Arabidopsis thaliana: one gene and its partners. The protein of the gene in region 3 purifies or fractionates together with the protein of the main gene of each other region. This does not show direct contact. Each region holds a gene or a part of one and is shown on either strand. Other genes may lie near its edges. The genes, in order: ALPHA-SNAP1, ALPHA-SNAP2 and EIF4A-2.

Region 1 (4,623 bases), on a different chromosome or scaffold from region 3:
ATAAGTTGTAGTAACCAATTGGTGCAGAACTGGACGGTTCATGGTCTTTACTGGGGTAGCTACAGGATCCATCAGCCCAATGTCCTTGAAGATTCCATCAAAGAGTTATTGTCATGGCTTTCCCGAGGATTGATCACTATTCACATCTCTCATACCTATAGCCTCTCCCAGGTGAAAACATTAACTCATCTTCATGACATCAAAACTCAAAACATGTAATTAAACACTTACCGTTTTGATTACAGGCCAATCTTGCATTCGGGGACCTCAAAGACAGGAAGGCAATTGGAAAAGTGATGATTGCTCTCGACCACAAGACTGCCCTGTCTTCAAAACTATAGACTCTTTATGGCCGTAGGAGAAAACAGCTTATGTATTCTAGAAATAAGGTTATTGCAATGGCCATGTAAGCTGAACCATCTTGCATTTATATCTGGCATATAATCCACATTCTGATTTGAAATTTCAATAAACGTTATCGAATTGCAGTTTGATTTTCTCTAGAAATTAGTGTAGTTATAAATCCTTTTTGTATATACATTGTTCCAATCAAGAATACATTTTCCTTCAATCAAGTAAAGCTTGCATCCTCCTCCAGCTCCCTGGCCTTGAACTTCTCTTTTACCCTCAACAACATTGTTGTCATGATCAAGAACCAGACAGAGTTTACATCCAAATAGTTGCATGTGGTTTACTGCCCATACCAGTGGACTCACGCTATCAATTTCCTTGGAAACGTCTGTGAACTTTGCAATGTCTTCTTCATCGATAGCAGAAGCAAGGTCCTGTTCATGAGAATAAATGTACAACACTTAACATACTTTATGTAAGCTACTCCCCAATTTCTTACAACACCAGAGTTTAAACTTTACCGCTAAGAACTTGCATTCCCGTGTTCCTGAAAAAGTCGGATCCAGATCCTGCAAGAAAGTACAAGTTAGAACACATGTCATAGTTACTCAAAGGACCACGCCAGGATGCTGATGTTAAGGCTGTTTGCTGTGGAAGAAGAAGAACCTGATATTTCTCCAGTGCATTAGTGATGGAAACAACATCAGCTTTGCATAAGTGGCACATGCCAGCAGTGAGAAGATGGCCTTTAACTCCATACTTAAGCAACTTATTGTTGAGTGAATGGCGTGCCTGTGTCTTCATAAATCTGGATTGCCTTCTCATACCTATCAAAGATACAACAGCAAGCCTATTATCAATCAATCAATCCGCCCCAAAGTAGAGAAGGGGCTATAATCCATGTGCTCATGTGTAGAGAACAACAACATTATTCCAAACAATGTCAAATTTGTGGTTTGAAAATTCGATTTTAACATGGTCCCATCTCAGTACTGTAAGTACGTCAATACCAGAGGATGAGAAAGCCAAAAAAAGGTCAGGTGCCGAAAATCTTACTGCTCTAGCTGGGAAGCATATTGTGCAACCTTTAGATTGCACTGGTTTGCAGAGGTGGTCACTTCTTCTATTTGAAAGAATTCAGCTGCCGTTTCATAGTAAGCAATAGCTTGCTCGAACATCTCATCAGATTCATAATACTCAGCAATTTCCTGTCAAAAGTAAATGACAATGTACACATTAGTACAAATACAGAAAGTCAGTACCAAGCTTACTATATATACTGTAGAAAAAAAGAAACAAATCCGACAGGATCCAACATGCATAAACAACACGAACCATGGAGAAGATGCTGAAGAAGTGCCTCCCCCTCAATAAAACTATCTTCTCACTATCCGTACTAAAAGAGTAACAGTATCTAATTCATACTCAAAAGAGACATGTAGTACATTGTAATATCTTGCAGCCATGTTGAGCCTTACTATCTATCTCACAAAATATATTCGCCGCTCTCTCTAGACAAGATGCAGCCTCTGCATATAATAAGGTCATGGTTATATTTGGACGCGATAAACATGCATAGCGAAAGGAAAACACACAAGAGTTGATAATCAGTCCTGTAGTACATATATGTCAATTAAAATCTAAAAAGCTGTTGCTACATGATCCATACATTCGTCCATTATCATATATGTGTTTGCCAAAGAATTTGCCTTTAAGTGACAATCGGCAAGTTTTAGATAAGCTATTCCAGCTTGATCCCCTGAAGAATCACAAATCAAACACATAAGCAAGAAGATACTTATCAATGACTTTACTATAAGGCCAAAAACCATCATTATCGAGTAATCTAAATGTTGAGTATCCAATTTATAATTCCCACATATCAAAGAGGCCTAAAATCAACTTCTCACAACACCATGGAAGGATCACCACAATTGCTAAACCAAAGATCAATCAAAAGTCTCAAGTTTCACCTTTTCTTCCTCATCATCATCACAAATCAATCAGATGAAACAAAAATCAAGGCCGGCTGATTATTATTTATGGAAATTACATGATTTGGCAAGCTTATAGGAATCACGTGCTTTCTCGAGCAGATCAGCAGCATCCTCGTACTTAGTGTCGAATCTTCTCCGTCTGTTAAGCTTCTTCTCAGCTTTCTTCTGAAAGTAGTAGCAACTGCTTGAAGAAGAGAAAGTGATATCAAACAACAACAAGAGTTGGCGGCGAGCGATGGTAGCTGAAGCGGCTCGCGTGATGGTTCTCTGTTTTGAGTATTGCAGAGTTCCGATGAATGAGAGATGGGCTTCGTGTCTCCTTTTGGGCCTGAAACAGCTGCAGTGTTGTTGTGAGAGATTGAAGTCTCTGCTTGAGTTGGAGACTCTTGTTGTTTGATATCTTATCAAGTTCCTCAGCTCTATGAAAAGTGGGTAAAAAAAACCCTCACCTTTTACAAAAAACATGTACAAAACCCTCAACTTTTTTGGTGGGTTTTTAAACCCTTCCCTTTTTTTCTTTGATAACTCAATGCCCAGACCACACAGTGATCTAACTAGTCTACTGGGGCTAAGCCCGCGACCAGAGATTTTTAAGCATCCATTTAAGGGATTTTTTGGTGGGTTTTTAAACCCTTCCCTTTTAAAAAATAATAAAATAACACTTACTATTATTAAACCAACTAAACTATTATATTAAAACATAAAATAAAACAAGTTAGTTTGTAATTTATACTTTCCAAATTGGAGTTTTTGATATTTTTTCAGAATTTAGTTGTTGTTTTTTGACGATATAAAAAAATAAGTTTCAATTAGAATTTGTTATGTAAACTAAAATCAATTTATAGCTTAGCACATTTTATTTTATTTTACTTCATATGTTTTCTAACTTTTGAAGTTTTGGATTTAAAATGAAGAAAATTATTAACATAATTTTGTTCTAAAGTTGTGTGACTGAACAAAAAAAAAATTCTTAATATTTCTTTTCTTCTTGAACATATAAAACAAAGGTTTCGCATTACCAAAAAATTTCAGAATAAGAATTATTCAGCCTATCTTATCGTATTTCCAAAAAAGATCTCGAGAAGATCTCGGAGAATCTTAACAACAAATGAAAAGAAAATATATTATCATTATTTTGTGCAAAAGATTGCACTCCTCCTTCCTTTCCATCTTTATTACCTGATGCGTAAAGATATCTAATGGAAGAAGAGCTCTCGCCTGCTTCTATAAGACCTGTTTTACTAACAGGACAGTTTAGTATTTCAAGATGTTTTAATTCTTTGCATCCTTTACCAATTGCTTGGAGACCGTGATCCGTAACATTGGTAGCATACTCTAGTGTTATTTCAACAAATCTATATACAGAACAAGCACATGTATCACGGTCAGTTTATGTGCAACATCAAATATTCAATTAGAAATTTTTGATAAAACAAAATTGAAAATTCTCGTAAATGACGTAAAAGAAAAAAGAATAATAATGCAATCAAAACTAGCATTTACAAGCAAAAATTTCTAAAAGAATAATAATATAATTTGTGTTAATCACACCATAGAAAGTATTTTGAGCAAGGGGAATTAATAAAATCAATGCATCATTAAAATTGCTTAAATTTAATGCATCATTAACTATTATGTAAAAAAAAACCACATAAAATTTTTAATATATGTAAATTTTATATAAAAAAAAAAAGATTGCTTAAACCACAAGCTAGCGACTTGTGAGTTTAACAAAAAGTCGTAAAATCCAATGGAATCTGGTGACGACAAGGCACCTAATACTTTTTTTTTTTTTTTAACTCTGGCACCTAATACTTTTAAAGCATCTCCATTGCATAATTTTCTATATTGTCTCTATAAAATTAAAGTTACTAAATATTAATAATTAAATGTATAAGTCTTTAAATTAAATGGAGAAATCCGGTTCTGTAACCTTGAAATGACCATGTAAGCTGAACCATCTTGCATTTGTTATATCTGTCCTATAATCAACATTCTGATTTGAAATTTTAATAAACGTAATCGAATTGCAGTTTGATTCTCTGTAGAAATTAGTGTTATAACCAAAAAAAAATCCTTTTTGTATATACATTGTTCCAATCAAGAATACATTTTCCTTCAATCAAGTAAAGCTTGGAAGAATAAAATCGTATGCGGTTTCACCAAATCTATATACAGAGCCAATTGTTATGTACATAAAACTCAAACCAAGCACGTGGTCTGACTATCTCGGGCTATCTTGCTTCAGAAAATGGAAATGTTCAAGCTGAGTCAT
Region 2 (11,176 bases), on a different chromosome or scaffold from region 3:
TCTATAAAGATTTGAAAATGTTCATATTTTAATGTCTTTTTCTTCCAAAACATGTTTTAATTTGAAGGTATAGAAAAATACTTGAGGCATGGAAGCAAGCTAAGCCTCGGCCTAAAACTCCTGAGGAAGCCTCCAGGCTTGTTATCGCGGCTCTAAAGAACCATCAAAAAGCAGATGTTGAGGTATTAACTAATCATGATGGTTCTTTCAAGTTGCAAAAATGTCAAGGAGTTTTGGAGGATGCATTATTGATATAGTTGACTTGTTAATGGCATTGACAGGGACTTTTGTCTTTCTATGGACTACCTTCACCTCACAATCTCGTTGAGGTCCCTACGGAAGCTCCTGTGTCTTTACCTAAAGGAGTTCGGTTTGAGCTTAACACGCTTCCGGTTAGAAAACTTACGAATCTTTAAAAGGTTTGGGATATGATGGTAATGTTGTTGCTGCTGATCAAGAAATTTTCTAAATGAAATAAGGTGGATACAAAATCTGTGGCAGATGGTGATACTGTTACTGTGTATGTTAGTAGCAAAGACCCGCTTGTGTCATCTTCTCTTCCTAAGGACGTGAGTCTTGCAGCGGTTAAAAGAGCCAAAGCGCGTGAGAAGAAGAATTATACTGAAGCAGATGCACTTCACAAGACGATCATAGCTTCTGGTTACAGGTTTGTGTTTTATTGATATACTTCACAAGTTGATTATAAAGTCAAATCAAAATTGATCTACGAAATTCATAATTTTTCCTAACCTTTTTTTCATGTTATACTTAGGATGATAAGTTTTCAGAATGAGGAAGTGCTTGCTAAAAAGTTCAGAATTAGACTAAGGTAAAACACTCTTCCACTCTAGAGAGAACCTCATATTCAATCAAAAGCTATATGTAGAGTTAAAAATTTGGAATGAAAATGAATCAGCGGAATAGATTCACCGGAGAGCAAAATGCCGTATGGAAAAGAGGCGCATGATGAGCTACTCAAGATGGTTGAAGGGAAATGCTTGAAGGTGTTAGTATATACAGAGGATCGTTATGGAAGATGTGTAGGAGATATATACTGCAATGGAAAATTTGTACAGGAAGTAATGCTAAAGAAAGGTCTTGCTTGGCATTATGTAGCCTATGACAAGCGTGCAGAGCTCGCAAAGGCAAGCTTTTATAAACCTTTGTGCTTTTCATTTACAATTTTCTTTGATTATTCCTTCTGATGTTTAACGGTTTGTTTTGGTGTTTTGAATTCAGTGGGAAAATGAGGCTAGGCAAAAGCGCGTTGGCTTGTGGGCATCTTCTAATCCAGAGAAGCCATGGGAGTGGAGAAAGAACAAACGTGGAGGCAATTAATGATAACAAAACCAATAAAAACAACAATACAATACTATTCGATTATATGATTATTGTGAATTAAAGAACTTGTGATCTGTTGTTGTAATTGTAAGAGAAGTATGTATATGTTTTATGTATTGACAAGTATTTTTTTGGCAATAGAGAATTTCTCTTTGAACCTTGAGACAGAAGTTAGCTTAGTTGTTTCGTTTCTAAATATAAGGGTACATAGTTTATTTTTGGGGTTTAACAATCTTTGGTTGAGAATAAAAGTCTGAAAAAGTAAAAACCAATCTTACAATTTCAAATTTGTTTTTAGTTGATATATTGTTTTAAGAAAATGTGAAGAGGTGTTTTTGATAATTCTTCATCATCAGGAGGATTATCAAGGGCTCTAAATAAAGAGCCTTTCATAGTCTTTTGCAATCTTCTTCTTCGTCTTCTTCTTGAACTTTATTCGAAAATGCCGAAGAATAAAAAAACAGAATGGCAAGTAGGAGATCCCGCGATAAGCGTAGTGAGCGATCAATTCTGTAATCCATACCCAATGGATCTTTTGGTGAAGAGAAAAGTTCAGAATTTTTCTAAAGATTATTATGAAGTGTTTGATCCAAGTGGGAATCTGCTCCTACAAATTGATGGACAAGCTTGGGGGTTTAACCGTAAAAGAGTTATGCGTGATCCAGCCGGTTTCACAATCCTCTCAATGCGTCAAAAGGTTACAAAACATTTTAATTTTTCAACAAACATACATATAAAAATGACTCTTTCTTGAAATGGTGTATGATTGTTTAGGGACTTGCGTTGAAGAACAAGTGGGAAGTGCATGGAGGAGAGAGCAAAGAGAGAGAAGACTTGCTCTTCACGGTACAACAATCTCAAGCGGTTTCACTGAAAACATCCGTGGATGTTTTCTTGCCGGAGAACAACAATGTCAAGAAGACAAACACTTGTGATTTTCATGCTTCAGGAGGATACTCCAATATCTCATTCAAAGTTTTCAAAGCGGATGCTCTCATCGCCGGGGTAGGGGTAAAAGTTAAAAACCCATACTTATTAAGAAATTTGCAATTTTTATACATTGGTGAAGGATTGAAATCCTTATATTGCAGGTAACACATAAGTTTACATGGGGAAGTTTCTGCAAAGGGAAATATAACTTTAAGGTGAGAGTAAATCCAGAGGTTGATTATGCTTTTATCATTGCTTTGCTTGTCATGGTCGATGACAACGAGAATTGGTGTTAGTATATTGTCTGTCCTCAATCTCTTTGTTTAGTGGTTCCTTTCACAATTTATTGGTGTATATGTGTTCATTTCTCAAGATATATGTATGTAAGAATATTTTTTCCATGTAATGTGCAATCTTGCTGGCCCAAATGTTTATTTTTCATAAAAGCGTGCAATCAAAGATATATAGAGCAAGAAAACATGAATCAAAACACTACAAATTGTCGTTAACAGGAAGAAAAAGCACACGTTTATTAGATAGATGTAGACGTAAAAGCAAACAAATAATCGAGACATGATCCTCTCGATGCATCAAATAATCGCTGAACGAAGAAGACTCTCCACAGATGTTTAACCAATATAAAAAAAACTCCAGACTTGAGTAGTTCCCATAAATGAAGTGACGAGACGCAGAGAACAATTGTAGACGTCGATACCAAACAAACCCAATTTGACCAAACCTCTTAAGAAACTTTAAAACTCAAAACCAGACACAATAAAATCAAAGAAGAGTCGGACATGAAGTAACGGACATAGTGACAATACAACCCGGGAATGAATAAAAAGCAACGCTCTGGATAAATATGTCTATGTAAGGTCATCCTCCTCTAGCTCCTTGGCCTTGAGCTTCTCCTTCACCCTCAACAACATGGTTGTCTTCCATGAATCCTGCATTAACACCAATTCCATGATCAAGAACCAGGTAGAGTTAAAGAGAGATTTTATTCAAATAGCTGTATATGGTTTACAGCCCATACCAGTGGAGTCATGCTATCAAACTCCTTGACAACATCTGTGAACTTTGCGATGTCTTCTTCATCGATAGCAGAAGCAAGGTCCTGTTCATATGAATAAATGTACAAAACTTAACATACTTTATGTAAGCTGCTCCACAACTTCTTGAAAAAACGGAAGTTTAAACTTTACCGCTAAGAACTTGCATTCCCGTGTTCCAGTAAAAGTTGGATCCAGATCCTGCAAGAAAGTAGAAGTTAGAAAACATGTCATAGTTGCTCAAAGGACCACACCAGAATGTTTATGTTACGGGTGTTTGTTGTGGAAGAAGAAGAACCTGATACTTCTCCAGAGCGTTAGTGATGGAAACAACATCGGCTTTGCATAAGTGGCACATGCCAGCAGTGAGAAGATGGCCCTTAACTCCATACTTGAGCAAGTTATTGTTGAGTGAATGGCGTGCTATGTCTTCATAAATCTTGATTGCCTTCTCATACCTACCAAAGATACAACAACAAGCCTATTATCAATCAATCGGTCCCAAAGTAGAGAAAAGGCTATAATTGCTGTGCTCATGCATACTGCATAGAGAACATCACAATTCCATACAATGACAAGTTTGTGGATTGACAATTCGATTTTAACAGGGTTCCATCTGAGTACTATAAGCACTTCAATGCTAAGGGATGAGAAAGCAAAAAGAAAGGTAATGTGCCGAAAATCTTACTGCTCCAGCTGGGCGGCATATTGCGCAACCTTTAGATTGCACTGGTTTGCAGAAGTGGTCACTTCTTCATTCTGAAAGAATTCAGCTGCCTTTTCAAAGTAAGCAATAGCCTGCTCGAACTTCTGATCAGATTCATAATACTCAGCAATTTCCTGTCAAAAGTAAAAAACCATTAATGTACAAATTAGTCCAAATACAGCAAGTCAGCACCATGCTTACTTTAGTTTAGAAAAGGAAAAAGACAATCTGAATCCGACTGAACATGCATAAAGAAACAGGAACCATGGAGGAAATACAGAAGAAGTGCCCCAATAAAACTATCTTCTCAGTATCCGTACTAAAAGAATAATATCTAATTCATGCTCAAAAGAGACAAGTGGTACCTTGTAATATCTTGCAGCCATGTTGAGCCTTCCTATCTCACAAAATATATTCACCGCTCGCTCTAGGCAAGACGCAGCCTCTGCATATAATATTAGGACGCATGAAAACACATAAGAATTCATAATCACTCTTGCATTACAGAGATGACAATTACAAAAGTAGCTTTATACATACCATTAGTGTCAACTTTCTTGTAGCATTTAGCAGCCTCAGCATAGGCGTTAGCAGCATCATGTTTGCTATCTGACTGCAGATGCAATCATGCAAATCAATGTTATCAAACAATCCACACATTAGTCCAGTATCATATATATGTGTTGCCAAAGAATTAACCTTTAAGTGACAGTCGGCAAGTTTTAGATAAGCTTTTCCAGCTTGATCCCCTGAACAATCACAAATGCAACACATAAGTAAGAAGATAGCGTTGGAGAATTAAACAAATATCAGAAAAGAACATGAAACCTATTAAACTCAGCCAAATAGAACCCAAATTAGGTACTATAATTGTGCCACTTATCAATGACTTGCTAGAAGGCCAGAAACCAATATCAAGGAATCAGAATGATGAATCTCCGATTTAAAATGTTTTCGTATGAAATTATCAACCATAAATTTCTTACAGATCAAAATAGACCTAATATAAACCCAGATACTAATTCTACTTCTCACATGACCATAGACAAATCACCGCAACTGATAAACCTAAGATCAAACGTTTCAAATTTCACCTTTTTTTTCTTCCTCATCATCACAAAGAACAACAATAAAAAAAAACACGACACCAATCCGATGAAACAATAATCAAAAGCAAAGAAATTTTATTTATGGAAATTACATGATTTGGCGAGCTTATAGGAATTAGCTGCTTTTTCGAGCAGATCAGCAGCATCCTCGTACTTAGATCCGAATATTCCCCATCCATTGAGCTTTTTCTCAGCTTTCTTCTCGAATTCCTCAGCTCTCACCAGATGATCCCCCATTCCTTTTTTTTCCCCGAAACTCTGACTTGAAATTTGATCGTGTACTTCTTTACCTCCACAGACTCCGATTGCTTCTCTTTTCTTCGTCGAGAGAAATTGCTTTCGATTTGGATTATTCGCTGCGATGAAAGAGAGAGAGACGAGAATCGATCGAGAGCGAAAAATCAGAGACACGCTTCGATAGGGGAAAAGATTTTTCAACCGACTAAAGTGGGCCAAATTTGTCTATTTAAAATATGGGCTTTGTTTTGAAAAGCCCAAGTTAGCCCAATCAAAAGTTTTTCCGTACTTTGTTATTGGGTCGCTTTAACCAAGCTTAGAAAATATGGGATCAGGTTTATCAGTTGGGATTGAAGAAAAGCTTACATGAATTATCAAGTAAAACGATTTCCTGTTATATCTGCTCGTCCTTCTACATTCTTCATTAGCCATTATTATAGTTCTCAAATCACGACAAATATTGCTGACAGTTTCCACTAAACAAACCTATGTTCCAAAATGCACAAACTGGTAAAAACCTAGTATGTTTTAATATCAAACACATGAGTAACAACAATATCGGTTTTAATATCAAACACATGAATAACAACAATGGCTAAATAACAACCGTTACAAATCTATGAAATGTTCAATTTTTTAGCAAATCATTTCATGGGTAATCGGTAATTTTTTTGTCTTTTGTGAGTTGCAGAGGTAATCTTCTGTTGTTGGGCTTCTCGACATGTTGAATGGTATTGGGCTTAGTGTCTTGGCCCATAGCATTCTGTTTGGGAGACTCTGAGCTGAGCAGAGAGTTTGACCCAAGCTCTGTTGTTGTTGACTGAAGCTTCTCCTTTACACACAGAGATGATCTAAAATAAACTGTAACTTTGCAACGAGGGATTTCTGCGGCAATATTAATGTTGCTATCAGTCACATTCTATAATGTTAACTGAGTAACTTCAATATGATTCATATGAAATGATTAAATAAAAATAACTTTAGAAGACAGTGTTTAATTATTCTTATATTGTTTCGTTTATCACGTTTTCAATTATTCATTCGACATTCCGCATTCGCTGCCCTCTCGTTTTCTTGATGAAAAGTCTCGAACCGTCTGCTCTAAAGTTAGTTTATTACACGTGAGCCATCTTTGAGGCCGCCAATGATATGATTATATATTGGATTTTATTATATCCACGAAAATTTTAAATTATTTAGGAGTTTTTTTCTTTTTTGGACAACTTATATGAGATGAGAAGCGATGATACACATTTGGCCACTTTTTCGTCTAGATACATTCTTCGTGAAGAAATCCAAGTGCACACATTCATTAGTGTTGGACGGACCCATTTTATTTTGGATTTTTTTGTATAATTCTTTGGGGTTTTTTTGTTAATAATTCACTTCTGTCTATAATATGATTATGATTGTTCATCATATTTTAGCTGTAATTTCCTCTCTTGAACAAAATTATTATTTTCGTGATGTTTTTAAGTACGTGACGAAAGATCATTTGGTGATCTCACTGACATGATTTGCCCAGCCTGTCAGGTTTACCTATGGTCAAATATCATTTTCTCGATTTTGCCCCAAACGGTCAAGGCATATATCCCCAATCTTCAAAGGGTATTTATGTACTTTTCGCTATTAACCGTGTGGCTATATGAAGCCGATTCCTCATAACAACTACAAAAAAGGAAAGCTTCTTCCCGCCGGCAAATTCTTACGTTTCTCCGGCGGTTAGAAAAATGACACCACAGATCAAAACTCATCTCTTGCCGAAGCAAGAACCTTCTTCGTCTGAGAACCATGGATCATCAACCTCCGGCATCGTTTTCAACGTGTCAACGAGTATAATCGGAGCCGGAATAATGTCGATGCCGGCGGCGTTTAAAGTTCTTGGAATAGTTCCAGCGTTTTTGATTATCACGATCATAGCTTGGCTTTCCACAATTTCCGTTGGATTTCTGATGAAATCAACTCTCGCCGGAGAATCAACTACTTACGCCGGAGTTATGAAAGAGTCGTTTGGTAAAACAGGATCCATCGCTGTACAGATTGCTACGATGGTTGCTACTTTTGGTTGTATGATTATATTTTCGATTATTATAGGTAAAGTAATTTGATCTAATCATCTAAGTGTAGAGGTCTCAGCTACTATTTGAGCTTAAGAACAGATTGGCTGAGTTTGGATTTGTATGTGTTTACTCTCTCAGGAGATGTGCTTTCTGGTAATGAAAATGGTGGTCCTGAACATATTGGAGTTTTGCAAGAATGGTTTGGTTCTTACTGGTGGAACACGAGAATCTTCGCTTTGTTATTTGTCTACGGCTTTGTCTTGCTTCCATTGGTCCTGCGTAGACGAGTCGGTAAGTTTCTCTCTATAATCTTGTGTTCTCAAAATTATGGATATCTATGAGATTGTTGATGATTTTCTTTTTGTTAATGGTTATGTAGAAAGACTGGCAATTAGTTCCGCTGTATCGTTTCTTCTTGCGGTTCTATTTGTTGTCATAAGCTCGGTGCTGGCGATTTCCGCGCTGGTGAATGGACAAACGAAGAATCCAAGACTGTTTCCGGAGTTGAGCAATGGAGGATCGTTCTGGCAACTCTTCACAGCTTCCCCTGTTATAGTTACAGCCTTCACGTTTCACTTCAATGGTAAGAACCCATCTCTTTCACCATATTGGTAACTGTTTCTCTGTTTTCTCTGTTTTTTCATGTTTCTGAGTTTGGTGTTGTGATTCAAAATGTGCAGTTCATCCAATTGGATTCGAGCTCAAAGATCCATTACAAGTGATCCCAGCAACTAAGATCTCTGTCATCTTGTGTGCTGCTATCTACTTCGCAACTGGACTCTTTGGTTACCTTCTCTTTGGAGATGCAACTATGTCGGATATTCTAGTGAACTTTGACCAGAGCTCTGGTTCTTCCATTGGTTCTCTTCTCAACGACATTGTCAGACTCAGCTACGTGCTTCACCTCATGCTGGTCTTTCCTCTCCTGAACTTCTCATTGAGAGCAAATCTCGACGAACTCTTGTACCCCAAGAAGCCGTCCTTGGAAAAAGACACAAAAAGATTCATCGGACTCACTCTGGCTCTACTGATTTGCTGTTTCTTGTCTGCAATCGCTGTACCAGACATTTGGTACTTCTTTCAGTTCATGGGATCAACCATCACAGTCTCCATAGCATTCATATTTCCAGCCGCCATTGTTCTAAGGTAGATATGCTTTGTTTCCTTTACTATGTACTTTATCAGTTGCTTCAAACTTCCTATAAAAATCTTACCAACTGCTTTCTGATTCTGAAATGGCAGGAATATCCATGGTGTATCAACCTCAAGAGAGAAGATCGTAGCTGCAATAATGCTTGTTCTTGCTGTTGCCACTAGCATTATTGCTATCTCGACAAATTTATACAGCCTCGCAGCAAACTAGTCGTTGAAAAAAGTTTTGCAAACAGTCCCTTCCATGATCACTTCAAAGAAATCTGTAAAATTATTAGCTTGCCGTAGCATTCATATTTATATCTTTGTGAAATAGGTTTGTCAGAAAATGCAATGTAATAGCTATACAAAGTGCAATTTTTGTTGCTGCTTGAAACAGAGAAAGAGGAAATGAACAACTCTTCAAAACTTGTATTCTTTAAATTACTTTTTGTAGACCATTATTTGAATGAACAAAGTACATCTGTATCAGACTATTCCTTTCTTTTGGAACAAAAATTGAAGGGTTCTAAGTTGGAAAAAAAGAGGAACATAAAGATGATACAAACCTTCGAAAGCTTAAGATTATGAAGATACCAAGACTTAGAGCATCCCCATTGGGGAGTCCTAATTAAGGACTCCTTACAATTTTTTAATAGTAAATTTTAAGTAAATGAGAGTTTAGAGTTTTTGGTTGAATCTTTATAATTTTTAGTGTCCAATGGTGGAATCCTTAAGTGGAATCCTTAAGTGAGAAATTTTTCTTAGTTTGTGAAAAAGAGTGTTAATTGGGTAAAAGGAAGAGTGTGTATTAGGTTAAAGAAGAGTGTTTATTTGGTGAAAGAAGAATGTTTATTGGGTTTGTTGTAGAGAACAAGAAGAGTGGATACTTAAAACAATAACAGTGGATAAAAGAAGAGTGTTTTTGTATGCATATACAGAGACTTCAAAATTTAGAACAATGAAAACAAAATTATTGTTTAGCATACAAGTGATGTCATAGAATACACAATAAGAACTAGTGTTTTCCGAATATTATTTTGTGGTGTACAAGCATTCAAACCAAAGTACAAACTTGTGGTGACTTAAAACATGTGGTCTCTTTTATACAAGTAATGTCGGCACTGGAGTGATTTAGAGAAGGTGGAAGCATTATTTAAGTCTGTAACAAAACAAGAAACCAACATTAAGAAGAGACATACAAGAACATTAACATTAAGACAACCATATGGAACTTAAACTGAACACAAGCTTGTTTGCTACTTAAACTAAACACAAGCTTTATTCGAACTAAAACTGAAGACAAGTCATATGGAACTTAAACTGAACACAAGTCACATTGGAACTAAAACTGAAGACAAGTCATATGGAACTTCTTACGAACACAAGTCATATTGAAACACAACACACTAACACTGAAGACTAAACATTCACAAATAAGAAAACATAGAATACTTAAACTAAAGATTAAGACAACATATCACATTAAGACAAGTTTTATTAAAACTGAACACATTAAGCTGAACACTCGTTTAGTCCGTTAACACAAGAATAAACAACAATATCATTAAAGCCGAAGTGATACAAGTCATATTGAACTTAAAGTAAAGAAAACAGACATACAAGTTATCTAAGCTAAAACCACTTAGAGAACATAGACCATAACATGACATACAAGTGAATAAGCACCAAAAGAGTCACATTTTTATCTTAAAAACCAAAAGATCAAACACAAATTTGAACATAAAGCAAAGCCCAGAATCTGTATACAAATCCATATACTGAATTCGAAATCAATTGTTACAGATCAACTTGTAAGAAGCAATTACCAGATCAAAAGCACCAGACTTTAACTTGCAATCAAATTCAACCTAAACCCAGATAAACAATTAAGCATCAAAAGGAGCAAAAAAATCAAAACTTCAATCACATATAAGAACCTTACCAGCAGACGAACCCACAAGCAGGATCCTATGAGCATCAACATTCTAACCAATCCACCGAAAAACAGCGCCACATCGTTGACCTCAGCAAAGCCGGTAAGAGTAGCTCTTCCGGTGGATTTTCTGACACCTCTTCGATCACGAATCTTGTGGATCGTATGAGAAGAGAGACATGATAAAAAAAGAGACGATGAAGAATTTGATCCGTCGAAGTCGAAATTCGGAGAAAACAGGAGAGGAGAGAGGAGAGAAAGAAAAAAATAGTTTGGGAATGGGAAAGAAAAAAAAACACGGGAAAAGTTGTCATCCAATAATATACAGCCACGTCAGCGCACCTAATACACCCAAAAATACCTTAAACAAGGTTCGCACCTTGGTTTATTACACCATTCTGATTTAATTTTTTGCTATTATTCATAAGGATTTTCTTAAAAAACTTGCAAGGTCCCTGCAATGGACATGCTCTTATGATTCTTGACCTATCCTTGTCCGTAAAAAGGTAGTTCAGTTGGAAGAGACAGCGAGGTTTTTCTCAACTAGCTTCTCGAGTATGTTTGACTTGTATGTTGAAATGTCTGAATCTTCCAAGGAATTTGGAGTCGATTTGACGATAGAGAGTGCTCCATTAGAGCCTAGGAATTTAGCAGCTTCACCTGCAACTAAGGAA
Region 3 (10,410 bases):
CTTCTTACGGTGTCCGTGCTAGTGAAGTGGAACTAGCTGCTGCTAAGCAGATGGCAATGGATCTTGAGGAGAAAGGTGAAGAAGTTGCAAACCTTTCTATGAATAAAGGCAGGACACAACGGTATGCAAAATTGGCTAGCAAGACGTCATCAGATTTTGAATTGGAGACAGTAGTCACTGCTAGCGACGAAAAGGATCAGAAGCAGAACACTGGTGTTAAGGGGTTTAGTTTTGAAGATAACCGTTTGATGAATGAAAACTGGTTAAATGAGCCAAATTCAGATGACATTTTGATGTTTTTCCGTATTCTGGCGGTTTGTCATACAGCTATTCCTGAGGTGGATGAAGATACTGGAATGTGTACTTATGAAGCTGAGTCTCCTGATGAAGTTGCTTTCCTTGTTGCTTCTAGGGAGTTTGGTTTTGAATTTACTAAGAGAACTCAATCTAGTGTTTTTATTGCTGAACGGTTTTCATCTTCAGGTCAACCAGTTGATAGGTGAGCTTTAAATCTTTCAAAAATATTTCATTGATCTTTCTTTGCATATAGATGTCTATTCATGTGGAGGTTATTTTACAGAGAATACAAAATCTTGAATCTGTTAGACTTCACTAGCAAAAGAAAAAGAATGTCTGCCATTGTCAGAGATGAAGAAGGGCAGATTCTTCTACTATGTAAAGGCGCTGACAGGTTTGATTGCATGACTTCAAGCCATTCCCAGTTGCTTAATTCTCACTTCTTCTAACCACAATTTAATGCTTTTTGCCTGCAGCATTATATTTGAACGTTTATCAAAGAGTGGGAAAGAGTATCTTGGAGCTACTTCAAAGCACTTGAATGTATATGGTGAAGCGGGTTTACGCACATTGGCACTTGGTTACAGAAAGCTAGATGAGACCGAGTATGCAGCATGGAACAGTGAATTTCACAAAGCCAAAACTTCAGTTGGAGCTGATAGAGATGAAATGCTCGAGAAGGTTTCAGATATGATGGAGAAGGAATTGATCCTTGTTGGAGCTACTGCTGTGGAGGACAAACTGCAAAAAGGGGTATGTAGCATAGTTCAAAATATGATTATAACTGAGAAACAGCCTTTCCAAAATCATTTTCAACTTACTGTTTGTATCTCACTTTAGGTGCCTCAATGCATAGATAACCTTGCCCAAGCTGGTCTCAAAATATGGGTTTTGACAGGAGATAAGATGGAGACAGCAATAAACATAGGGTTTGTTCTTCATTGTTACTGATAATACCACAGACTCCTAAACTGTTTCTGACTAGATACATTTCTAAAACTAAGTGGACTAATTGAGTTCTTTGGTTGATCCCAATGCAGATATGCCTGCAGTTTACTACGACAGGGTATGAAGCAGATATCCATTTCACTTACAAATGTGGAGGAATCATCACAAAACTCTGAAGCTGTATGTATTTTGTCGATGCTATAATTAAAAACCAACTTTTACAGCTGTTTCAGTAGAAACTTGCATGTGATAACAAAACTTGTTAATGGTCAGGCTGCAAAGGAGAGCATTTTGATGCAGATCACAAATGCTTCACAGATGATTAAAATTGAAAAGGATCCACATGCAGCATTTGCTTTGATCATTGATGGAAAAACACTTACCTATGCTTTGAAGGATGATGTCAAGTATCAGTTTCTTGCCCTTGCAGTTGACTGTGCATCAGTGATATGCTGTCGTGTCTCTCCCAAACAGAAAGCACTTGTAAGAATAGTTCCACAATTCTCAAAACATCTTTCTTGGTTTCAGAATATTACATATGCCATATTTTGTTTATCTTGGTTTTTGTAGGTAACAAGGCTGGCCAAAGAAGGAACAGGAAAAACAACTTTGGCAATTGGTGATGGTGCAAATGATGTTGGAATGATTCAAGAAGCTGATATTGGTGTTGGCATCAGTGGCGTTGAAGGCATGCAGGTTGCTTAAAAACTTTTCTTCAGCACAATGAGACATGGTTAAGTTTTGTTGGTTTTTCTGAGAGTAGTTGGTTCTGTTTCTTTGCAGGCAGTAATGGCAAGTGACTTCTCCATAGCCCAGTTTCGGTTTCTTGAGAGACTACTTGTTGTCCACGGACATTGGTGCTACAAACGAATAGCCCAGATGGTAATATATGCATTGATATAACTCACCAGAAAACAAATATCTATATATATACCTGATCTTGATTCGTCATTGTTGGTTTCACAGATTTGTTATTTCTTCTACAAGAACATAACCTTTGGTCTGACTCTCTTCTACTTCGAATGCTTTACCGGATTTTCTGGTCAATCAATATACAACGACTCCTACTTACTACTCTTCAACGTTGTTCTCACTTCTCTCCCGGTCATTTCCCTCGGAGTTTTTGAACAAGATGTTCCTTCTGATGTCTGCTTACAGGTTATATAAAGTCCTCTCCATCATCTTTCACATATATAACAAAACCTTCTTTTTGGATCTTGATTCATTTCTTGGCCTGTTTTCTTTATCTAGTTCCCTGCATTGTATCAACAAGGCCCCAAGAACCTGTTCTTCGACTGGTACAGAATCCTTGGATGGATGGGGAATGGAGTTTATGCATCCATAGTCATCTTTACACTCAACCTTGGAATCTTCCATGTTCAATCATTCCGCTCAGATGGCCAAACCGCAGATATGAATGCCATGGGAACCGCAATGTTCACATGCATCATATGGGCAGTAAATGTTCAAATAGCTCTAACCATGAGTCACTTCACTTGGATCCAACACGTAATGATTTGGGGAAGCATAGGAGCTTGGTACGTCTTCCTCGCTCTTTACGGTATGTTACCAGTAAAACTCTCTGGTAACATCTTTCACATGCTCGTCGAGATTCTTGCCCCTGCACCCATCTTCTGGCTTACTTCACTTCTGGTCATTGCCGCCACAACGCTACCTTACTTGTTCCACATTTCATACCAAAGATCAGTGAACCCTCTTGACCATCACATTATACAAGAGATCAAACATTTCAGGATCGATGTAGAGGATGAGCGAATGTGGAAACGAGAGAAGTCAAAGGCGAGAGAGAAGACAAAGATTGGGTTCACGGCTCGAGTTGATGCTAAGATCAGGCAGCTAAGAGGCAGGCTTCAAAGGAAGCATTCGGTGTTAAGTGTTATGAGTGGAACATCGTCTAATGATACACCTTCTTCAAACTCACAATAGACTTGATGATTAAGACCAAGTATGTTTTGTTTAACCACTTCATATATATTTCTGTGATTTTTTCTTCGGGAAATCATCAGATGGAGAAAGTTGGATTCAAGTTAGATGAAAGAAAGAGAGACTCTTATTTTATTTTCTTACTAATCTTATGGTTTATACAATTAGACAATGGTAGAAGAAAGAGGGGAATGTTGTATTTTGTGTTTGTCTGTGTGTGTGTATGTACACTAGTACTAATGAAAAGAAGAAAAAAGATATGTTGCTGATTAGACAAGTTTGACAAATAGTTGACATTTTTTCCTTTTTACAAATGGATTCACAAAAAAAGATTAGCATGGAAAAGCTTAAGTACTCTTACTTCCGAAATTGAAAAAGAAACTGTTTTCAAAGATATGAACTAAAGCTCTTGACCACTTCTTAATGTTAGGAATTATATAATCGCACATGACCCCAGTGAAAGATTTCTATGTAAGTGACATCCGAAACAGTAAAAACAGGTATAGAATTGCTGTGAATAGACTTGTAATTACGAAAGATTTTTGGATCATACAAGAGAAGAAATAAATATTGCATTTGATAAAAAAGAAATATGGTCAGAAGAGACATATATATGTTCGATAGAGTTGATGAAGAATACTAGAGAATGAAAAAGATGTATCGATGATTCAGAGAGAGAGAGACGGGTCAAAAATCAAATAAGAAATTTGCGAAACAAGCAACCTTTCTTCTTCTTCTTCTTCTTCTTCTTCACAGCAAATCAGCCACGTTTGAGGGAAGCTCCTCAACAACCACATTGTAGAATTTCTGAATATCAAACAGCATTCTCTGATCATCAAGAGTCACAAAGTTAATCGCCACACCCTTTCTCCCGAACCTTCCACTTCTTCCGATACGGTGAAGGTAATTCTCTGGCTGAGTTGGGAGGTCAAAGTTTATGACTAGAGAGACTTGCTGCACATCGATACCACGAGCCAAGAGATCGGTTGTGATTAGAACACGAGACGAGCCAGACCTGAACTCTCTCATGATGATGTCTCTGGTGTTTTGGTCCATGTCTCCATGAGTTGCTGAGACTGTGTGGTCACGGCTTCTCATTTTGTCTGTGAGCCAGTCGACCTTGCGACGAGTGTTGACAAAGATGACACTCTGAGTGATGGCTAGAGTCTCGTAGAGATCGCAGAGAGTCTCAAGCTTCCAGTCTTCTTTCTCCACGTTCACGTAGAATTGCTTGATACCTTCAAGTGTGAGCTCATCACGTTTCACCAAGATTCTCACTGGTTTGCTCATGAATTTTCTTGTGATCTCCAAAGCTTCCGGAGGCATTGTCGCAGAGAACACTCCAACCTGAATCTTTGGTGGGAGAAGCTGGAATATGTCATAGATCTGCAAATTCACCAGAAAACAACACAAAACCAAGTCAATATCAGAGATAACCACAGAGGGTAGATTCAAACTTTGAAGAAGATAACAAACCTGATCCTTGAAACCACGGGAGAGCATTTCATCAGCTTCATCAAGGACAAACATCTTGATGCAGTCAGGGCGGAGAGATTGTCTTCTAAGCATGTCAAAAACACGACCGGGAGTTCCAACGACAACATGAACACCAGCCTGGAGAATGCGCTGATCCTCACGGACACTGGTTCCACCAACACAGGCATGAACCTTGACACCTTGGTAGTCACCAAGGGCACGCATGACCTTCTCAATCTGCTGAGCAAGCTCTCTGGTGGGAGCCAAAACGAGAGCCTGGCACTGGAGAAGGGCATAGTCAAGCTGCTGCAAGACACCAGAGCAGAAAGTGGCGGTTTTTCCAGTACCAGACTGTGCCTGCTGGATCACATCAAGACCCTTGCAAAAGGGTACAATTCCTCTTTGCTGAATAGCAGAAGGCTTTTCGAAACCTAGAAAAAAATCAACCAATCAATCACAGGAAAGAGCACATACGATAAAGTTAATAGGAATCCCAACATAACAAACAAAAGGTTGTTTCTTTAAACCTTCTTCACTTACCGTAAGCATAGATACCCCTAAGAAGATTCTCTTGCAAACCCATGGCATCAAAGCTCTCATGGACCTCATCATATGAGGTGAAGAACTCATCCTGTCCATCGAGACTGCACCCAAACAAACAATAAGATTAGCAAATACAAAAAAAATCTCATCAAAAACGAGTAATGAAACTAAAGATCTTAGGACTTACACTTCATTCAGCCTCTGGTCAAACTGACGCGTATCAAATTGTGTTCCTTCCGGTGCGGATCCTGCCATACTACAACAATACACAAAAGAAACAATAGTTTAGAACCCAGATAGCTAGAGATGATTCTTAAATCTTATAGCCAGAGAGAGTTGTGCAAAAGTAAGAATGTAACAGAATAGCCAAACTTGAAGTTCCATATAGAGAGGAACACAAGCATTAATATCTGAATTATTCGATGTCAGGAGAGATATAGGAAATATGGTTCATCCAATTATCATAACAGATACCATTCAAAAACATCTATCTCTCCATGAAAGCATATAATATACACAAAGTTGTCCAAAATCGAAGATAAAAGCTTTGGATGATTTTAACATAAGTGTCGAAATCAAAACCTAACCCAAATCGATTTGAGATAAACGAATTGAAGGGTTTCACGGACTAATTGAATCCGATGACGAATTATAGATTAACAAGCGTCAATTTTGAAAACGACCCAGAACAAATTCCATCGCAAAGAGAGTAAATCAGACTCGAGATCCAATCGTTCATAAGAAAAGGAACAAATCGCAGAGAAAAGTAAAAAAAATATTTCCGAACCTTGGAGCTTAAGTAGTTGAATGAAAGATGAAAGCTTTGAGAGTAAAAGTGAAGAACTTTGTTAGAGAGCTTGAAATCTCGCGAACTTGGATCTGGTGGAGCGATAAAGAGAAGATTGAAGCAAATAATATAAATTGAGGTAGAGAGAGACTCAACCCAATACGTGTTAGCCAGTTATATAGTCCCCCTCTTTTTTTTTTTAGGGTTTTCCTCTTTCTAATTGTTCTACTTTTCCAAAATTTTTATATTTCCAACTTTACCCCCACTTTCCTCTTCCTTTTCGATTTGAGATTTTTCTCACCTCTTTATACTTTTCCTAAACTAGTAGGGAAAATATTGTTACCAATCAAGTTATTTTACACCAATGTCAAAAGAGACTATGAATAATGAATCGCAATTGCATACTAACACACACCAGAAAATATCAAATCACAATCACAAAATGTTGTTTTCAAGTGGAAATATGAGTAGTAGTGTTGTACTTCCATACGCCAATACCAAACTTTTTAATTAGAAAAAAAGACCAAATTTTCTTTTGGAAAAGCTTATTCTTTCCAGCACCTTTTGATGCTTTATGACGTAGCAAAGCATTCACAAGACTCCATAGACACGTCATTGTTTTTTAGCAAAAAAAAAAAAAGCTATCTTTTTATGAACAAAACAGTGAACATTAGTTCACCATTACAACCATATAAACCTGTGTTTAAGAACTACAAAAACAAAACTCAAGTGGTTAGTTAAGTAAAATATAGATTGAAGCAAACTAGATAGATACTTGGTTTTCTTTTACAGTAGAACAACCTCTTGGCCAAGAGCACCTGCAAGAAACAAAGCAAAAGACAGTGATGATCATGGTGATGATGATGGATTGATGTACCATGTGAGTTTTGTTGAGATTACATTGTTGGTGGATCTCTAAGCATAATTGAAGCATCGTGTGGCTTTCTTCTACTAACTTGTGCATTCGTTCTTCTTCTTCGACTGCCTCTGCTGCTATCAACCTTTTGTTATCTGACTCTGCTAGTTTCATTGCTACAACTTCTGGTGCTACTTCCAACACTTTGTTTTCTAATTCTGATATCTTGTAGCGATCCAATACCTGCAATTTGGGAGATTTTCTGATTTTAATCAATCATAAGAATTACAAATGATCTTGTTATAGATAGATGATGATGCATCAATAAATAGCTGAGCAATTAAGAAAAATATACCTTTTCCAGTTTGCCTTGAGAAACGAGAATTATCAGGCACTCACTCAAAAACATCCTAAAGTCTTGTTGCTCCTCGTACCAGTCTTGAAATTGATCAACCACAAGGGATCATATCTTTTGTTGCTATGATACTGTAAATTGGATGAGCAACATGTAATTAAAAGGAGTAAGATTACGTTGTTTTCTTTTGCCAACTCATTCATTCCTTCTGCTTCTCTATTTGCTGCTGGGTCTATCTCATGTGTTTCTTTTGATGTTAATATCACAGAAGTACTTGGTAACTCTGGTGGCTTCGTGGAATCTTTTGGACGCAGGGTGAGTGTTGGCTTAATTGCTTTCGTAACTGAGATTTTGTAACGATTTCGTACCTGCATTTATAAAGTAATTTTTGAGTTTATCATATAATATAACTCAGGTTTATTATTACTACATCTTGTCATATAGATATTGGGGGTATGGAGAAAAGTAGATAGGCTTGTGACAAACCGCGCATTAAGAAAAACAACACTAGTTACCTTTTTGAGTTTGTCTTGAGAAACAAGGATTCCCAGGCTATAACTCAACAGTTTCTTAAAGTTTTGTGGAACCTCATGTTGTCCCTGCAATTGATAAACCACAAAGATTAACTTCCAACTGGATTCAATGTAATTCATATTCTTGATGTTAAGGTTGAACGTAAATATAAGAGTTTATCCAAATGATATTTTTCAAAGCTTGAACCAGGATACAATAGAGAAACAGTAATAAGAGAATGTAATGCAGCAGCATTGGTGATAAAAAGGATTCATGCTTGGAGTCAAATGTTATAAGGAGGAAAAATGAAACCACAAGTTTCCTGGGTATGAATTTCAGTAACCTGGGCGGCGCAACAAAGAGGTTCCAACAGCAGTTAGTAATGCTATTCCAATGGTATCAGAGTGTTTGCAGTCATCATGGTTGTGTTAGAATACTCACTACATATATCTACAACCTCAGAAGTTACCAACTAATTGTCAGATAACTATCCTAAAAATCCTTATGTTCTGTCCATTGTGATCAGTTACTATTGACTCACTTCAGACTACACAATCTATCGACTCATTTCAGGTGAAAACTTAGCATTCTGTATTCAGAGAAGAGAGTATAATGAAACCCAAGGAAATAACTATGACAAGAAATTGAGATAAACTGACTAATGAATGTCAAATATAAACCATGAAAAACACAAAGGACTTCAATGTATATATCCTCTTCACCTCGATAAATCTGAGAATCTCTTTGAGATTGGAACCATTTTCATCATTAATTGTTGATACAGCCTCAAAAACCATCGCATCATACCTTGCAACAAGGTAAAGAAGAACCTGTTAGAACTTAGAACATACCAATTCTAAAAAATCTCTAAATATAACAAACCTAGCATCATTGCTCATATCAGATGAACTACTAGGAGAAGCCTCATAGCTAACAACAGAACGAGAAGTCTCTGAAGGTGAAGTGAAAATGGAGGTAGATTCGAGTGATTGTGTCCTTGATTTCTTTATATTACGCCATTTATCCTTGAAATTTGGGCAATAAGAATAAACAATACAACATTAATACCCAAATTTCGACCTAATTCCACATAATAAATCTCAAAAATCGATTTCCATGGAAGACGAATGGGATTTTGGGAATTTTCGATTACCTTGAGGTTAATGTTTGTGCGATCTAGAAGTTGAGCCGCGAACTCTGGATCGTCTAAAATACTTGTCCATTTTCCGGAACCGTGCTTGGCTAGTCCGGCGAGAAGGGCTTCCTTCTTCCACCGTCCATTTATTCTTCCGATTTTCTAGTTGTTTTTTCTTTCTCTTCAAGTCGAAATATATACCATTTAGAAGGCCTCATCAAAAGCTTTTATTGGGCCTAAACATGGCCCACTATACAGATTTAAAATTAAATCTTGATCTGTTCAGAATTTTTAAGACTAATCTCGACCGTCCAAGATATATTCTCCCAGTCTCAAAGAAGCAAGAACACAAACATGGACTAGAGAAAACACAAGCATGGATTAGAGAAAACACTCTATTTTTGGCTCAGAATCTATTTTTCGAGCTTTATTGCTTCATATTGTTGTTAGAAGATAAGAGTGTAGTGAAAATTGGTTAGAGAAGAAACAAAACTGTGTCCTTGACCAAAAAAAAAACTGTGTCTTTGTCTGTGTTTTTTGTTATGTTCTTGGTCTCAATTGCTTATCTTCATCAATAGCTTAGAGCTACAAATAGTACATTTCACCGGACCGGAGCAGTCAATTTGTGGAATGGGATTTAAAACGGAACGGAAAAACTTGCTTTTGCACAAGAGTTGCTTCATGAAAATTGCAAGAGTTGAAGTAGTAAAAGTTAAACATTAGATCAAGCTCTCTATTAATTCAGTTTTTATCCGAAAAAATGGCACCTCACAGCTTCCTCATGAGTAGGAAGAGCCTCTGGTCGAGTTCGAAGTGAGAAATGTGAGCTGGATCTCCCTTAAGCAACATCAGGAGGCCGCCAAACGAAACATATAGCTCTCTGGAAACACATAATTTAAAGAAAATAAAATAAAACATGATGGTTTGATATGTGAGTTGAATTGGATTGAATTATTTTGATATGGGGGGGTTATATGGGATTCTTACGCTTTTGGAGTTTTGCCGTCACGCTCAGAGATCTTGTAAAGCTTCCCGTGCATTATGTATTCATACTTATCGGCAAGTGTTTTCTTTGCTCCCTGTAATGTATCGAGATGAAAACTAGATAAGATTAATGTTTAGATATGCATACACATTCTTGGTTTTCAAATTTAGATCTTGAAGATTCAAGAACTAAAGCTTGTTAAAATTCCATGTCTCCTCTTATTCCTAGATAGACAGGCTTCTCGAATCAGCCAACAGAGTTATAATATCAACCATTTAGCAGCATTAACAGTTATATCCTAACAAAATCCAGATACGGGTTCAAAGTTACCATTCATGGAAATTTGGCCAAGCAAACAAGAGACTGTGTATATACTCAAAACAAAACAACTAAATAAAAAGCAGTAGAGTTTATTACCGGAGTAAAATAACCGGTATCAGGGGTTCCATCGAGATTCAGCGTAGGAGCCAACGCAAGTGTGAACTTATCACCAACAGCCAATGGATAAACCTCTGTATTAACATCTAAATGCATAAACATTTCCAAGTTGTGGCTCGTAGCTTGAACGCGA

What was found.
Region 1: the proteins of EIF4A-2 (region 3) and ALPHA-SNAP1 fractionate together in Arabidopsis thaliana (co-fractionation; one large-scale study listed by BioGRID). This does not show direct contact.
Region 2: the proteins of EIF4A-2 (region 3) and ALPHA-SNAP2 fractionate together in Arabidopsis thaliana (co-fractionation; one large-scale study listed by BioGRID). This does not show direct contact.

Annotation. Positions count from the first base shown.
Region 1 is NC_003074.8:20,928,747-20,933,369, reverse strand, and holds ALPHA-SNAP1 (alpha-soluble NSF attachment protein 1), read right to left. Parts: upstream 2,814-4,623; coding exon 2,405-2,813; intron 2,111-2,404; coding exon 2,010-2,110; intron 1,560-2,009; coding exon 1,408-1,559; intron 1,387-1,407; exon of another isoform or gene 1,169-1,386; coding exon 1,018-1,168; intron 921-1,017; coding exon 873-920; intron 786-872; coding exon 501-785; downstream 1-500. Other genes in the region: AT3G56460 (GroES-like zinc-binding alcohol dehydrogenase family protein), read left to right, coding at 28-171, 246-341; ATG18D (autophagy 18 D-like protein), read right to left, coding at 4,573-4,623.
Region 2 is NC_003074.8:20,842,982-20,854,157, forward strand, and holds ALPHA-SNAP2 (alpha-soluble NSF attachment protein 2), read right to left. Parts: upstream 5,715-11,176; 5' UTR 5,376-5,714; coding exon 5,231-5,375; intron 4,779-5,230; coding exon 4,729-4,778; intron 4,643-4,728; coding exon 4,570-4,642; intron 4,475-4,569; coding exon 4,395-4,474; intron 4,164-4,394; coding exon 4,012-4,163; intron 3,782-4,011; coding exon 3,622-3,781; intron 3,525-3,621; coding exon 3,477-3,524; intron 3,389-3,476; coding exon 3,308-3,388; intron 3,219-3,307; coding exon 3,138-3,218; 3' UTR 2,693-3,137; downstream 1-2,692. Other genes in the region: CAN (Ca-2+ dependent nuclease), read left to right, coding at 68-182, 282-392, 480-667, 773-829, 917-1,145, 1,240-1,338; AT3G56180 (LURP-one-like protein (DUF567)), read left to right, coding at 1,784-2,038, 2,116-2,346, 2,433-2,567; AT3G56200 (Transmembrane amino acid transporter family protein), read left to right, coding at 7,106-7,469, 7,574-7,726, 7,815-8,018, 8,116-8,581, 8,678-8,798; AT3G56210 (ARM repeat superfamily protein), read right to left, coding at 11,014-11,168.
Region 3 is NC_003070.9:20,255,548-20,265,957, reverse strand, and holds EIF4A-2 (eif4a-2), read right to left. Parts: upstream 6,412-10,410; 5' UTR 5,996-6,411; intron 5,648-5,995; exon of another isoform or gene 5,560-5,647; intron 5,465-5,559; 5' UTR 5,464-5,464; coding exon 5,396-5,463; intron 5,310-5,395; coding exon 5,206-5,309; intron 5,097-5,205; coding exon 4,666-5,096; intron 4,576-4,665; coding exon 3,940-4,575; 3' UTR 3,692-3,939; downstream 1-3,691. Other genes in the region: AT1G54280 (ATPase E1-E2 type family protein / haloacid dehalogenase-like hydrolase family protein), read left to right, coding at 1-499, 581-691, 774-1,050, 1,138-1,226, 1,338-1,425, 1,519-1,728, 1,816-1,941, 2,029-2,127 and 2 more; AT1G54260 (winged-helix DNA-binding transcription factor family protein), read right to left, coding at 6,782-6,813, 6,896-7,094, 7,207-7,289, 7,481-7,574, 7,722-7,805, 8,442-8,526, 8,602-8,618; NRPB8A (RNA polymerase Rpb8), read right to left, coding at 9,623-9,734, 9,842-9,933, 10,257-10,410. UniProt on the Arabidopsis thaliana protein: ATP-dependent RNA helicase which is a subunit of the eIF4F complex involved in cap recognition and is required for mRNA binding to ribosome.